Notamacropus eugenii: one gene and its partner. The protein of the gene in region 1 interacts with the protein of each later gene in a pairwise test. Links are inferred from orthologs where the notes say so. Each region holds a gene or a part of one and is shown on either strand. Other genes may lie near its edges.

What was found.
Region 2: the proteins of GCC1 (region 1) and ZNF276 interact in binary tests that used the Homo sapiens proteins (3 or more experiments, as listed by UniProt). The two-hybrid records come from large-scale screens. The link is inferred for Notamacropus eugenii from reciprocal best matches to the Homo sapiens genes GCC1 and ZNF276.

The regions. Positions count from the first base shown.
Region 1 is NC_092874.1:122,542,005-122,549,989, forward strand, and holds the start of GCC1 (GRIP and coiled-coil domain-containing protein 1), read left to right. Parts: upstream 1-4,984; 5' UTR 4,985-5,317; coding exon 5,318-6,343; intron 6,344-7,720; coding exon 7,721-7,985. Other genes in the region: ARF5 (ADP-ribosylation factor 5), read right to left, coding at 511-582, 1,375-1,484, 1,813-1,893, 2,661-2,904. UniProt on the Homo sapiens protein: Probably involved in maintaining Golgi structure.
Region 2 is NC_092872.1:707,617,756-707,625,470, reverse strand, and holds the start of ZNF276 (zinc finger protein 276), read right to left. Parts: upstream 3,019-7,715; 5' UTR 2,957-3,018; coding exon 2,683-2,956; intron 1-2,682. Other genes in the region: VPS9D1 (VPS9 domain-containing protein 1), read left to right, coding at 5,931-6,239. UniProt on the Homo sapiens protein: May be involved in transcriptional regulation.

The DNA.
Region 1 (7,985 bases):
ATTTGAAAGTGCTTTATATAATTTATATATTTCAAGCCTCACATTGTTCTATAGCCAGATTGCTTAAGGAAATGCTGGTCTATATAGATAATACCACAGGCATTAAAATAAAAATAAAATAGTATTATTAATCTGAATGAAATCACCTTGGCCCTATAAAATGACCCATAGCTGTTCTTGGTAAATGGGATAGAAATCTACTTCAACATATTAAAGATACAACACACAACCTATCTCCCTTCCCTACCTCGATCAATATCCCACATAAACATGACAGAAGGATAAAAAGAAAGACTATTTTACTTGCTTCATCCCATAACATAAGGGGGAGAACTTTTCTCTTTCTTTACCCAGGATGAATCAACACAAGAGATTTTAAAACCAAAAAAAGACTCAGATCTCCTGGCCTAGACTGAAAACTAGTCTGTGTTTCTACGGTCTCCGCTATTTCTGACTCATGAGAGAGAGGGCTCAATGTCCAATGTTTTCCACAGCCCATCTGGCACTCACCATCTTCTGAAGCTCATCAGCAGATTCTTGGACCCGTTCTCGGTCATTGCTATCCACTACAAAGATAAGACCCTAGGGTGGGAAGAAAGAGCAGTTAGCTCACCCAAAGAAAATGAACCATAGTTCTATCTTTTCTATCCCTTTCCTTACATTTTCTATAACTCCACTTTCATCCATCAATGGACTCAACTGTCTTTCATTCAAAAAATGAAACAAAACAATATATATTAAAACCTAATTCCCTTTTCAGCATCTACTATATGCAAGGCACTAAGAGGGAAAATATATATACATATATATTATCTACTCTCAAAACACTTATTAATGTACAAGGATAGGTATACCAATATTGCGTGGGGAAGAATTTCATGAGGACCACTTAGAGATAGGATATAAGCAAAAACTACAGAAACATGAAAGGAAAAAGTGCTTCTGACTGGAGAAAGCAGAGAAAGCTTCACAGAAATGGAAGTGGTATTTGGGTGGGACCTTCATTGAAGGATGAACAGAATTTCAACAGGTGGAGGGAGGAGACTGGAGTGGGGAGAAGGGTGAAAAGAGGAATATTCTAGGTAGATGGAGCCATGAATAGAAGCATAAAGCGAGGAAAGCTTGTTTAAGAAACACAGACTAGGTCAAGGTGGCTAGACTCAAAAAGGGAATAATTGAAGAAATTGCTAGAAAGTAGAATAAAAGTTCCTTGAGGGCAAAGTGTTATTTTTATCTCTAGCATTTAATACAGAGTCTGGTACGTAGTAGGTGCTTAACAGATACCAGATATAGGAATGAGTTTTATTTTGTAGGTAACGGGGAACCATGGGAAACTGTATGTGTCTATTTAGCTATTTGTGCTCTCTGGCCCACCTGAGTGTTTTGGAAGTAGTGTCTCCAGAGAGGCCGAATCTTGTCCTGGCCTCCCACATCCCAGACGGTGAAACAAATGTTCTTATATTCCACGGTCTCCACGTTGAAGCCTGTGAGGAAAGGGAAAAGGGGGGGAAGCCTGGGGGGGAGGAGGGGCACTGTAATGTGGGCAGGTACATTCAACTCTACAAAAGCGACGGGAGATCAGCTTGGTCAGGAGAACTTCTGGGAGTCCCCCAGAAGAACATCATGCAGACTTAAAAGAATTAACCGAACTGGGCCCAGGGCTGCTGCTTCCACATCCTGGCACCATCAGCCAAAGACACCATGACCTACTTTCTTGGAGCAACTGTATCTAGTGTCAGGGTCAGGCCCCAGAGAGGAAATACAGGGGACGCTCACAGACTACCAGCCCTCCCCTCCGTCCCAGGAGCTCACCTATGGTGGGGATGGTAGTGACAATCTCGCCCAGCTTCAGTTTGTAGAGGATCGTGGTCTTGCCTGCGGCATCCAAGCCGACTGCAATAGAGAGGCAGGGTAATGGATACGGTACCCGAGAAGCTCCGACTGAGACGAGGAGGGAGAGGGCTCGGGAACGGGAAAAATGAGATCGGAAAGTCTCAACGTGCATCTCCCGCTCCGGGGAGCTACGTTAGGGGGGAGTCCGAGGGAAACCTGGGCATCACGAGCCATTTCTCTTCCCCTCCATAGAAAAACCCGCACGCCCAGGGCCAAACAAAAAACCCCACCCAAAGTGGGCCTGCGGATTCAAGGGAGGGCAGGACTCAAGGAAGGAGGTGGGGGCCCCACAGGGACGGGGGCTGCCTCTCCAGAGAGGCATTCCAGTCGTGTCCAAGGGCCTCGCGTGGGGGCGGGCGGCCGGCCTGTGGGTTAACCCCGCCCAGGCCGGCAGGTTCCCGGCCTGGGCGCCCGCAGGCTCCGGCTGCTGCTGCAAAGCGGAGGAGGCTGCAGGCTGGGCCAGCTGGGCTGCAGGCCGTACCTGTCTTACCAACCCCGCCCCCCGCTCCCGAGGGCCGGGGGTCTTTTATCCCTTCTCCTCCCTCACCCGCCACCCCGTGCCTCAGTTTCCCTCATCTCCTCTCTCGACCACCCCCACCCTCACCCCCGGCTCGGAAGGGGAGGCCGAGGCTGGGCGCGCAGGGCCGGGTGGGGAGGCTGCGGGGGCGGCAGAGGGATGCGGGGGCGGCGAGGCTGCGGGGGAGGCGGAGGGCGTTACTCCGTGGGCAGGGAGGGATGCGGGGCCGTGACGCTGCCCGGGACCTCACCCATGAGGATCCGCATCTGCTTCTTCCCGAAGATCCGCGAGAAGAGCGCGGACACCGTGAGGCCCATGGCTGGGCCAGGGAGGGAGGAGCGGGGAGCGGGGAGCCGGGAGCCGGAGCCGGAGCCGGCAGGTTGCTGGGGGGATGGAGAGCAGCAGCAGCAGCAGGAACCGGAGCCGCCTCCGCGCTTACAGGACCCGCGTGACGTCACCGAAGAGCCCCGCCCCCACCCAGGCCACGCCCCCATCCCGCACACCTTAAAGAGCTTAGAGCCCAACCTTCTCTTTTTGCAGAGGAGGAAGCTAAGGCTGGGAGGGAAGTAATTTGCTCGCAGTCACCTGGATGTAGGAGAGATGGGGTTCGAACCCTGCTCTTCTGACTCTAAATCACTTCTTTACGCCAGGAAAAACTGAAACAGAAAGAAGGCTCAGGAAGAACGCGTACCTCCCCCCCAGCATTCTGGAATAGTCTACCTTGTGTGTTTGTGGCAAGTTGAAGAAAGAAATTAGGGTCTCTTTCCAGAATATTGCCTCAGAGCCCATCATCCCTCCCACCATCAGGATCATTTGTAACAGATGCAGCTTCTCTTCCCCATGCCTGCCAGGGCACCCCAAGATGCGGTGTTTTTTACTCTTTAACCTCTTTCCATTCTTTCCCAGAGCCTCTGCAAGGTAAGGAGGGAATCTACGGAACCTGCCCATATTTCCAGGTATCACAACTGACTTACAATAAACACCAATGGTAATAAAACATTAATATTATGTGCTTTAAATCACCTTAACCTCTTGCTTCTACTATAAAGTAAGGAACGCATCTATGGACTTCTGCCCTGAGTTTCAGGTATCACAACTGACCTACAATAAACACCAATGATAATAAACAGAATAAGTATTAAGTGCTTTAAAATGTTCCAGGCACTGTGCAGAGTGCGGGGGTTATGAATACAAGCAAGACAGTTCCTGCTTTCAAGGAGCTGGGTTTTTTCAAGGGCATTAATTCTAAGGAACCCCAATGTGGTTTACTTACAATTCCCTGTACCTCAAGTAAATAAGAGGCAGGGTAAAGTAAGAATTTCTCTCTTTAGAGCAGAAATTTCCTCTTGTACTTTGTATCTCTCTGACAACCTCTAGCCCAGGTCTTGTCACATAGTAACTTAATGCTTGAATTAAATTGACTGGTAGGATACAGCAAAAGTAAAATAAGTTTTAGATCATAAATCTAGGGGAAGAAATCATATTCAAGTTCAGATGCAGTCCCCAGATTTGCTGCTTTTCTTCTCTGTAGTTATATAAATACACCTCTAAAACAGGGCTTTTTTTTGGAGGCAATGGAATTAAGTGACTGGCCCAGGGTCATTCAGCTAGTAAATGTTTGAGGCTGAATTTGAACTCAGGTCTTCCTGACTCCAGGAACTGTGCTCCAAACACTGTGCTGCCTAGCTGCCTCAACAATAGGTCTTTTGAGTTGGAAAGGTCATAAGTGATTATCCACTACTCTCTTTTGACAAATTAGGAAACTTTAATGAACAAGAGAAATAGTGATTTGTCCAAGGTTGCACAGGTAGAAAGATATTAGGGGAGAGATTTAAACTCAGGCCTTACTCACAAATTCAGGATTCACTTCCACTACACCACGAAATGCTAGACATCTGTATCAATAAACACTTGCTGAATTGAATGCAGAGATCTGCAGATGGCCAATTTGCAAATTTAGAGCAAACATCTCTCAGGAGGCACCTGACCATAATGGCTGCAGCTTTCTGGATCTTCTAGACTGGTGAATAGAATAATATGTATTCGTATAGTACTTAAAGCAAATTGCTTATTTGATCCTCACAACAGCCCTGTAAGGTAGGTGCTTTCATTCCCATTTTACAGATGAGAACACAGGCAGACAGGTTAAGTGACTTGCCCAGGGTCCTGTAACAAGAGGTATGGAGAACAGCCCCTCAATACTCCCGTCCCCAGCTTCCCATGGGGGGCGGGGTTCTCCTTCAAGCACTACAGACATTTTAACAAATATCATTTATACGGTGCTTTAAGGGGTCCAGGAGTCAAAAAGAGGTGAAGAACTGGTGGTCCTAGATCTGGCAGGGGGTCGCCTCCATTCCCTGCGCCGCAGTCGTGCATACAGGTCTCTCTATGCATTTTCCCCTCCACTGCATCAGATACCCTGACCAGCTCAGACCCCAGGAAGCAGCGCCCAGCCTCGCCTAAGAGCAACCGCAGCAGCTCGACTGGCGCTCGAGGCCCCTCCCCTTGGCGCTCAAAGGCCCCGCCCCTCTCCTTATGCCCCACCCCTTCGCTCTACGTCCCACCTCTCCTCCCCGAGCGCACGCCTATCCCGAATGCCCACCTGCACTTCCGGCGGAGCCGGAAGCGTTGTTGACAACTGACTTGAAGTGGTTACCGAGTTAGGATCGGAGCCGGAACCGGTCTGTCCCGCTTCGGGGGCGAAGGGAGCGAGGGGCGCCGCGGCGTCTGCTGGCTTCGTCATTTGCCCCGCTAGCCCTCTGGGGCCGGAGCCAGGAAAGCGCCTGACATGGCGGCCTTGGCAGCTGCACCCCCTCGGCGGGAGCGCGCGTAAGGTCGGACCCCTCCCCGCACTGTCCCCCCCACCCCAGACTCCGTGAGCGGTGACGTCAGGGAGCTGCCCCTGCCATGGAGAAGTTTGGCATGAACTTCGGCGGGGGCCCTAGCAAGAAGGACCTGCTGGAGACCATAGAGACGCAGAAGAAACAGCTGCTGCAGTACCAGGCCCGCCTCAAGGACGTGGTCCGGGCTTATAAGAGCCTGCTGAAGGAGAAGGAGGCCCTGGAGGCCAGCCTCAAGGTGCTCTCGGCGTCCCACGAGGCTGACGATGCCTGCCAGGCCCCAGGCCTTCCCCTGGCCGAGGCTGTGGATGACCGGTGCTCCACTCACAGTGAGGACAGCACTGGTACTGCCACCAGCCTGGACACAACGGCCAGTCTGACCAGCACCAAGGGTGATCTCGGGGTGGAAGATGAGAGACTGCCCGCTGGTCCAGCACCTCCGAAGTCTGAGGAAGCCAGTGGGTCGGAGAGTGGCGTTAGTTCCAGTAGTGGGGATGTGCCAGCCAGTGTTGGCGGGGAGATCGACAAACGTTTGCACCAACTGAAGACCCAGTTGACCACCCTGACCAGCTCTTTGGCCACAGTGACACAAGAGAAGTCCCGCATGGAAGCCTCGTACCAGGCTGATAAAAAGAAAATGAAACAAGATTTGGAGGATGCCGGTAGGAAGGCTGAGGAAGAAAGGAGCCGACTGGAGGGGGAGCTCAGGGGGCTGCAGGAGCAGATGGCAGAGACTAAAGCCAGGTTGATCACACAGCAGCATGACAGAGCCCAGGAGCAGAGTGATCATGCTTTGATGCTGAGGGAGCTGCAGAAACTGCTACAAGGAGAGAGAACCTTACGGCAGGATATTGAACTGCAGCTAGAGGAGACCCGGGAAGCCCTGGCTGGACAGGCCTATTCAGCTGACCAGGTGGAAGGGTTCGAGTTACAGATCAAACAGTTGACCCACGAAGTGGAGGAACTGAAGCAGGAACTGCAGGCTCTTCGAGAGGAGAAGACTCATCCAGACCCACGGCTGGAAGAGCTTCAGGAAGAAGCTGCCCACCTTAAGAGTCATTTCCAGTCCCAGTTGCAGCAGGAAATGAGGAAGGTAATTCACCTTATCTGATTCAAATCTATAGGTGCTTAATGCGTGACTAAAAATATTAGACTTTTTCTTCTTTTCAAACCCTATACTGTAGTTGAAAGAAGTGCTAAATTTGTAATAAGAGTTCAAATCCTTACTATGCCACTTACAGCTATGTACCCATAGACAAGTTGCTTTATCTTATAGAACTTGGTATTCTCTTCTACAAAATGAGGGATTTGGACCAAATTTACCTACGAGGTCTCTTCATGCTTTCAATTCCTTTATTTTCATGGTCCTTACCCAAAATTTCTCATGGACAAATTTACTGGAAAATCTTGGTCTAATTGATGTTTACAAAAATTACAGAACATACGTCTAAGGGGATGTGGTATTTGTGGGTGCTGTCTGGAATTAAGTTGGAGTGCTTCCAGATTCTAGGCATTGGCTTCTTAACAGCTGTGTTAAGGAAAACAGTGAAGTACTGTATTCTATTTGTGTGGTTGATATTTTTTTCAGAAGGAGGCAGTTTCCTTCAGTTGTTCTCAATCAGGATTTGTTTTGGAGATGAATGTGCTATCCCAGAATACTGTTTTGGATTTTATGAGAATACCGCTTTTCAATTCTGGACTTGCTAGGCAGGGGTAGCATACAGGAGCGTGCAGTTCCTGAGGATAAACAGCAGATTAAGGGTGATAGACATAATATGCTAGACGTGTGACAAAAATGTAGAAACTGAAAGCAGAATAGAACTGTTCATGAACACTCAATAAACATGTATCTGTCATGTGCTAAGGCACTGTGCCAGGCAATGAGATTACACAGGGGAAAAAAAAACATTCCAGGCCTCAAGGAACTTAGACTCTACTGGGTAGCAGGTGTCAGGAAGAAACAATACATGTACACAGATAAGTATAATACAGGATAGTGTTTGAGAAGAGCAAAGGAGAAATCTAGATAAAGTGTCACAGGAAAATTTAAAACGGGAGAGAAAATTTCTAACTGGATGGATCAGGGATTCATGGAGAAGGATTCATTTTTAGCTTCTTGAGCTGAAGACAATGCTTCTCAGGGAATAAGTGTAATGCATTTGTTTTGACTTGATCTAGTAATAGTATTAATGCTCATGTGATTTTTGTCAAGTCACAGAAAATGACCTTAATATTATTTGGTGAGATAAATTCTGAGTCTTCAAGGGGTGAGGGCAGGGTTGCAGAATGGGAGTGGATAATAGTTTAAGTTTTGTTGGTGCTTGAATCAATGAAAAAGTTCTCTAAAGTTCTTCCCATTCCTACCAGCACATCCTATTTAAGTGCCCTCTCTCTTCTCTGCCTTTCCTAGATTCAGTGACAAGCTCTGCACTCTCTCTTAATTCATCTTTTTTGTTTCCTTGGTTTTTAGACTGCTTTGGCAGAGGAGCAGCTCCGTCAGTATTCTCAGATGGAGGAACAGAGGGTGGCTGCCCTAGAGAACCAAGTCTCAGAAGTGTCTGAACTTCTGGGCACCTATGAGAAGGCTAAACAAAAGGATCAGCTGGCAATTCAGAAGCTCAAGGATCGCCTTCTGCAGCTGGATATGGAGAATAAGACACTTGCTCTTGCAGCCTCCAGCCGTTCTCCCCTGGACAGTCACAATGAGGAGACCAGCCTGGATGTCAATGTTCTAA
Region 2 (7,715 bases), on another chromosome or scaffold:
GTAGGAAGAGGAATAAATCTGTTTCCTACTATTTATGCCTAGAGACAACACTCTAGCCTGACATGACCTAAAGAGGAAGAATTCTCAAAACCCTCAAATATTGTTCTCCTCCTCCCAAACCTAAGAGAGGCAGGCTGAAGCAATGCAAACTCTGACACTTTTAATGGACATCTCATCTCACATCAAGTTGGAAGAGGCAGAGTATTAATATTGGGCGGCCTTTCTCCCATTCCCCACCCCTTTCTCCTAGTTAAATCATACTTCCTCTTCTCTGCATGGTCTTACTCCCAGTTCAGTGGACTCAGTAAAACTATGGCTCAGAGTGCCCCCTAAACAGACACAAGAAATCTTTTCTCTGGCAGACTTCAGGCCTACTCACCAATCTGGGAGGGGGTCTGGCACCACCCACTGCTTACTCCCAGGATCAGAGTTACACTTTAGTCCCCTAATCAGCTTAACTAAAGTTCTGTTCATGCTAATACAGTGTTTGAGACTAAGGAAGCAAAGATAGAATGAGGCTTCCCAGATTTCTGAGAGGCTGGCTGTCATCTTGCATTTTGGTAAGGAAACTAAAGGACAGAATCTTCCAAAGAACTGCTTTGGCAGCTTCTCCAGAACTCTTCTCCTGACTCTCAACAAAGACCATCTACTCAGCTTCAAGAGATAGGTTCTGACCAGCTCACCTTGGGGTTTTAGTGCCCATTCCACAACTAGGTAAGTCCTAGTGATTTTTACTTTTAACTCTCAACATAATTAATATAGGTGCAGACCAGTTGTGGGCCTCCAATCAAAAACTGTGGCTGGTAGGAAAAGAAACAAAGTAAATACTATGTAGCAAAGTAAGGTAGACTAGCCCTCAATGGGCCAAAGGATGGGAACAGGGCTAGAAAAGCAAGCAAAGTTCTGGTGCTATCACAGAGATTTAGTGACCTCCTCTCACCCCAGTCTCCAAAAAAGGAAGAGAAAGGTATCAGGAAGTGGACAGTGTAGCATGTGAGGAGCACAAGTTGAACTATGATGAAATGCACTCGAAGTCCCCATCCCCACTAAGCTGCTCTGGCTTTCAGCACTTGTGAAACCAATTTATTACCAAACTGGTGGCTTTCACACCCACCCTCTCTAGTTACACTGTAGCCAGATAAAAGAAAGAAATACAGGAGGAATGCTTATCTAACAATGGAATTTTAAATGACCAACTTTCTAATGTTATAAAGTATTACCTAAAGGGAAAACAAATTGATTCTTGATCTCCTAATTTAGATACCAAGCAAAGGACTTTGAAGTCGGCTTTGTAACTCTTGTTCAGCCGATTTTCAGACACGTCTAACCCTTTCTGACCCCATTTGGGGTTTTCTGGGCAAAGATACTGGAATGGTTTGCCATTTCCTTCTGCAATTCATTTCACAAATGAAGAGACTGAGGCAAACAGACTTCAGTGACTTGCTCAGGGTCACACAGCTAGTGAATGTCTGAGTCAGACTTGAACTCTGGGAGAGGCATCTTCAAGCTGACTTCAGTTGATCAGGTTGAATAGAATACTTTTTACATACATGGTTGTGGGCCTGACCACACAGCCTAGAATCATTGGGTCCAAAGTCCCTACCATAGCACCAATTCACTGATGGTTAATTGTTAAAGTGATAACTGTTCAGTTCTCCCAACCTAAAGAACATACAATTGATTCTCTCTCTCTTCCTCTCCCTCTCCCTCTCCCTCCCCCTCCCCATCCCTCTCTCTCCTATATAAGTTGACTGTAAAGAAATGATCCTGTACTTAGCTATAGTGAAAAGTCATGCAAAGAGAAAGAACTCTTGGGGGTTAAAGGTACCACACATGTGCTAATGAAGAACATGACTTCCTCTAGTGACTGAAGGAAGACATGGGGACAGATGAATGGTGACCTGAGAAAAACAGGCTAATGATGGACTTGGAAGTGCTGTGACAAAGGCTACTTTTATAGATTTGGGATACCATTTCAAATGTACAACACAAGTGACCACTGCCTGAAAGCTCTCAAGACAGAGAGTAGAGTATCAGAATTTGAGAAAATCTGACAGCTTACAGGACAAACCTGATTCAGCTGGGATCTGCCAAGCCCTGTGTGACCTTGGACAAGTCCCTTAATTTTTATGGGCATCAGTATTGGACTAAATGATCTCTAGGGCCTCTTCCAGCTCTAAATTCTTGAAGTCCCTAATTCCTACTAGTTGGGAGGCAACTCTCCAGTATTCCTGTGGGGTAGGAGGACACAGCAGGCAACCCCTCCGATGTCTGTGATTTTATCAGCGAGTTGTGGGGGGTGGGGGGGGGGGTTCCTAGAGATTTCTCCAACAATGTATGAAAAGAAAAATACTAATATGATAGGAAAAGACTGGGAGACTGGTTGGGTGACCTTGGGCAAGTCGATTCCCTCTGGGCCTTAGTTTACAGGATGGTGATGATGATGATGATGAATTGGGGGGAGGGGTTTAAAAAATGCCCTCCCAGTAAAACTCTTGAGAGGGAGGAGACAGGCTTTGGGAGTTCGGGAGAGTCTGACATTGGGATGGCTGGTCCCTGGCCCCCGGGAGCTGAAGAGGGTAAGAGGCTGGCACCAAGAACCCGAACCAGACTCAGCGAGGGCGGAGCGGGGACTCGAACTCCCAGCTCGGGAGCTTACGCGGGTCCCGGGCCAGCACTCACCTGCCTCCTCGGGGCCGTCCTCGGTCACGGTCACGGCTGCCTCGTCGTCGTCCTCGTCTTCTCCGCAGACCCGGGGCGGCCTCCCGCCCCAGCTGCCCCCGGGCCGCGGCGGGGCCTCGGCAGCCCCCTCGTCGTCCTCTTCCGGCCCCGAGCCGCCTCCACCCGCCCGCGGGGCCCGGACCCGGTTGCCCGGACCTCTCGTGGCGGCAGCCCCGAGCCCGCGCTTCCCGGCCGCCCCCGGGGACAGGAAGCGGCCCAGGCGGTCCCGCTTCATGGCGGCCGCTGCGGCTGCGGCTAGAGGCCGGCCGCGCTCATGGCCCGCCGCCGCCCCCGTCGCCGCCGCCGCCGCCGCCGCGCCCCTCTCCGGGGCCGGGGGAGGAGCCTGGCCGGGCCGGCGGGCGAGAGAGGCGGCCGGAAAGGCGGCACGAAGGGCCCCGGCGGCAGCGGCGAAGGCGGCGGCGGCAGCGCTCTCTGCCGGCCCAGAGCGGCGCGGGCCCGGCCCGGCCCTGGCCCAAGGTCACCAGCGAGCGCCCGAGCCGACGCCGCTGGGCCTCTGGGGGCCGCGAGGGGCCGGGCCGGGGGGCACTAACACTGGCCCTCCCGCTGTGACCCTGGAAAGCAGATTCACCTGCGGCCGCGCCGAGCTCGGAGGGCAAATGTTCAACAACCAGCTCTCCTCTGACCCCAAATGTGTGCGAGGCTCACTTGGATGCTTTATCTGTCCTCCTTAAATCTGGACAGTCCACAAACTCAAACCCTGACTCAGGATTGGCCCATTTCTGAAGTGTAAATATTCTGCCCGGAGCTAGCTCCTGCACACCTTGACCCAACCTTTGCCAATTTCCAATAGAGGAATTAATTAATTAATAGGAGATTAATAGAAATCTCCTCTACTCGATCCCAGACCCCGCCAAGCTGAGGGTGGACGCTTTTCCCTTAAGCAGGAAAGCATTTTCTAGCCTCCCTGCCTTAACTCAGGCTCCATCGTAGGCTCGAAATGTCCTCTTCCCCCTCTTCTACCAAATCCCTAGAGATCTTTCAAGGTCTACATCCCTCCGGAAACCTCCTTTTTATCCTTTATAAAAATCTTCGTCTTAGACTTCATTTTATTTTCTTCTCTAATGTGAGACATGATCCCTGTTTATACCAGCGTCTCATCCCCCTTCCCAGCTGTGATCTCTAAAGGCAGAGACTTGTTTCTTGCCCCAATTTTATATCACCCCCACACCTGACACAACATTGTACACACAGTGGTTATTTAATGAATGCTTTGTTTTTCTATAATAACTCACATTTAAAGAATGCTTTTTGGGAGGTCCAGACCAGTGATTTCGAAAGCAGCAGGAACTCCTGGTGTTGGACTGTCTTCCACCAATGCAGATCAGCAGTCGAGTATAGCTTGTAAGTCAAACAGTTTTATGAGACACAGAGAAGTAAAGGGACTTGCCCATGGTGACAAGTGTGTGAGAGAGAATCTAGGTCTTCCTCATTCCAAGGTTTATTATCTTCTATCCCTTATCCCAGTAGTCTATGACACTTAATGGTTTACAAAATACTTTGCATACCTTATCTCATTTGATCTACATAACCCGTGAGGGGAATCAGGGTAGCTGGCATTATCCTTATCTTACAGAGAAGGAAATTGAAGCCCAGAGAGATTTGCCCAAGGTCACAAAATTATCCGAGCTCTAATTTAGAACCCGCACTTCAGACTTCAGAGTTGCTTGAACTGACCGAGGTGCTGAAGACTACAGACAAGGCTAAATTAAAATCAACTACAATAAGAACAGCTAGCATTTATTTATACAAAGCTTTAAAGTTTAAAAAGTGCTTCACCTATGTTAACTTATTTGATCCTCACAATAAGTGTGGGATTTTTCATCTGTTTCCCATCTTTGCCTGAACTGGCCAGAGTATTGCGATTCTGAAGGCTAAAGAGATAAGCAGAAATTAATTTTAATTCATCCAGGTTCACCAGTGGAACTTTCTCCCTGTTTTCCTTTTTTTTCTCAACTTCTCTACAGCCTCCTAAGTCCTTCTACTCTTTGCTTCGGTGAAGTACAAATTACTGACGGAAACCATTCTTTTCCTTTTTCTGGATAACCAAACCCAAAATTTACTATCCTCCAGACATTAACAGTAGGACTAATCATGAGTCTGGAGCAAAGTGGTAGAAAGAGGGGGAAAAAAGTAGCACTTCAGAGAGCTTTGCCGTTAACTAGCTGGGTGACTTTGGGGCAAGTCTCATTCCTTTTCTGAACCTTAGTTTCCTCATCTGTAAAAGGCGTGAGTTGAGAAAGATAAGCTCCTTCCAATTCTGACAAACGTATATCTTCTTAAAGAGGAAAGAGTGGGGAAGGGATAACGGGTGAGGGGAGGGAGATAATTTGGAACTGAAAAGAAAATTGAATTAAAGAAAAAACAAAAGGGGACCTTTCAGATCCCTCCAATATTGTAACTAGATATTGAGGCTTATCCTGAACTGTGCAATTAAAACCGAGGTAACAGTCTCCACACGGGATCATTGAGCAAGTGCTGGAAGGGTCTTCACCCATCTAAACGGCTTAAGAAGACAGTGGGGCCAGGGGAGGGGATGTGAGTGGCTTGCACATGCACCGTAAGCCGCAGAGGTGGGAGGAGAACCCAGTCCCTCCGACTCCCGCCCGGCGTAGGTGCCAGACAGCGGGCCTCCCCGGGATCAGGACCCACGACTGACAGCTGCGAGCTGGAGCAGCCGGAGCCTCCGCAGACTCAGCTGGTGGCGCTCTCCTTAGGTGGAAGGTCTTTCCTCCTCGGAAGTCCGGAGCCGGCTCAACCTCTGCAGGGGCGGGGGAGGGGCCTCGGCCCCCAGTCTTAGTCACCAGAGCTCGTTCCCCGGATTCGGATCTCCTGCGTGGCACTGCTGTGACCTCTAGTGAAGCAGTTCCTTTTTCTGTGCCTCAGTTTCCTGCCGTGTAAAGTGAAGAGCTGGATTAGAGGGTCGCTATGGGCTCCTCCACCCTCCGCAGTATATATTCCATTTAGTTGGGGATTTTGCGCTCGTTCGCTGCCATGACAACTCCTCGGGCTAGGCCTCGGCCTCCTGGGCTTTCCCAGGATTCCGGGAGCCAGGCGTGGGCGGGGCCAGGAGCGGCTGCGCGGGCCCTTTAATCATCAGCAGAGGGCTAGGGCGGGGCGGGGAGAACCCTGCTGGGCACGCGCCGGGGGCTGGCCGCGAGCCCGCTCCCCTCCCCGAGGAAACCGAGCTAATGAGGAGCTGTCCGGAACTTCCTGTTAGTCCGTACGCTAACGCCGTCCGGGTGGAAGGAAGTGCATTAAACGTGAGCACCGCCGGGACCTCTTTCCCTGGACGCAAGGTTCCGGCTGATCGCAGGCCCCATGCCCAGCCCCGCCCGCCGCCACCGCCGCCACCGCCGCCTCCTCCCCGCAGCCGGGCGGGCGCCATGGCGGCTACTGCGGCGGCGGGGGCCGCGGGGGACGGCGCGATGAAGCCGCTGCAGAGCGCCATGAAGCTGGCCCACGGGGCCATCGAGCTAGACGCTGGCAACCAGCCTTTGGTGAGCGGGGCCGGGGAGCCCCGGGAGGGGATCCGAGGGGGAGGGGCGGCCCCTGTGGAGAGGGGGAGGAGGCGGGGAAGCCCCCGTGAGAACGAGAACGGAAAGGGGGAGGGGCAGCCCCCGTGGAGAGGGGGAGGAGGCGGGGAAGCCCCCGTGAGAACGGAAAGGGGGAGGGGCAGCCCCCGTGGAGAGGGGGAGGAGGCGGGGAAGCCCCCGTGAGAACGGAAAGGGGGAGGGGCAGCCCCTGTGGAGAGGGGGAGGAGGCGGGGCAGCCCCCGTGAGAACGAGGACGGAAAGGGGGAGGGGCAGCCCCTGTGGAGAGGGGGAGGAGGCGGGGAAGCCCCCGTGAGAACGGAAAGGGGGAGGGGCAGCCCCTGTGGAGAGGGGGAGGAGGCGGGGAAGCCCCCGTGAGAACGGAAAGGGGGAGGGGCAGCCCCCGTGAGAACGAGGACGGAGAGGGGGAGGGGCAGCCCCATGGGAAGGGGGAGTCTATGTGAGAAAGGAAAGGCGCCCCCCGCCCCCCTGGGGCTCACTGTCCCTGTAGAAGGGGGGATGCCCTCGCACCGAAGCCCTCAGGTATTGGGAGATCTCCGGCTCCCGGCTCCCCAGCTACATTCACCGTGTGTTCTCCTTAACCTCCTGGGGCCCCGGGCTGGGAGATGCTAAAGTAAGAGCGAACGGGCCGTGGTCTGGGAGCCCCGGGACCTTGCCCTGGTCCCCTGGGAGATGGGGGGCGGACGCAGGCAGAGTGTGGTGAGGAATCCGCGGGGGGACAACTGGCCTTATTAAAGGTACAGCCCTTCCCGTGGTCCTGAATGGTTGGGGGGAGTCCCGAGGATGAGCACTGACAGGCCTCCCCCAGGGTGCAGAGTGCTCCTGGGGCATTCGATGGGGGGACCCTTCACTCGAGGCAGATCTCCACCCTCGTGCGCCTGTCCTGCCCAGCCCGTGACCGCCCGGCTTTTGTAGCTAAAGATAAGGTAGTTCCTCGGGGAGTTGTTTGGTTTGGAATCCTGACTCCCAGTAAGTAGTCAGGAGTAATAATAGTGAATAAGAGCGAGGCCCTGAGAAGGATTGTGGATCGTTAATAAGACGCACAAGTAGAAAAGCAGGCTGAGCCAGCTACTAGACTGGCCGGGATGGAGGAAGGTGCTAAATGCCAGGTGTAGGATGAAATCCAAGTTCCTGAATCTAGTTCCTTTTTTCTGAGTTTATGTTCCTGGGGATCATGTTTCTCTTGATATCGGGAATTCTGTACAGAATTCGTATTGGCCTCCTAATGATTACTGAAGGTCAACAGTACTTTAAGTTGCAGACCTGAGATGCTGGAGCCCCATTGAGGTTCCACAGCTCTCAACTATGTCAGACTGGGGTAATCTCCCCAGGGGATGTTTAAAGGTGCAAAGCAATAAGGAGATTCCCCATTTTTGAAAGGAACTCTCAAAGCATCACATAACCCCAGTGGACTGAATCATA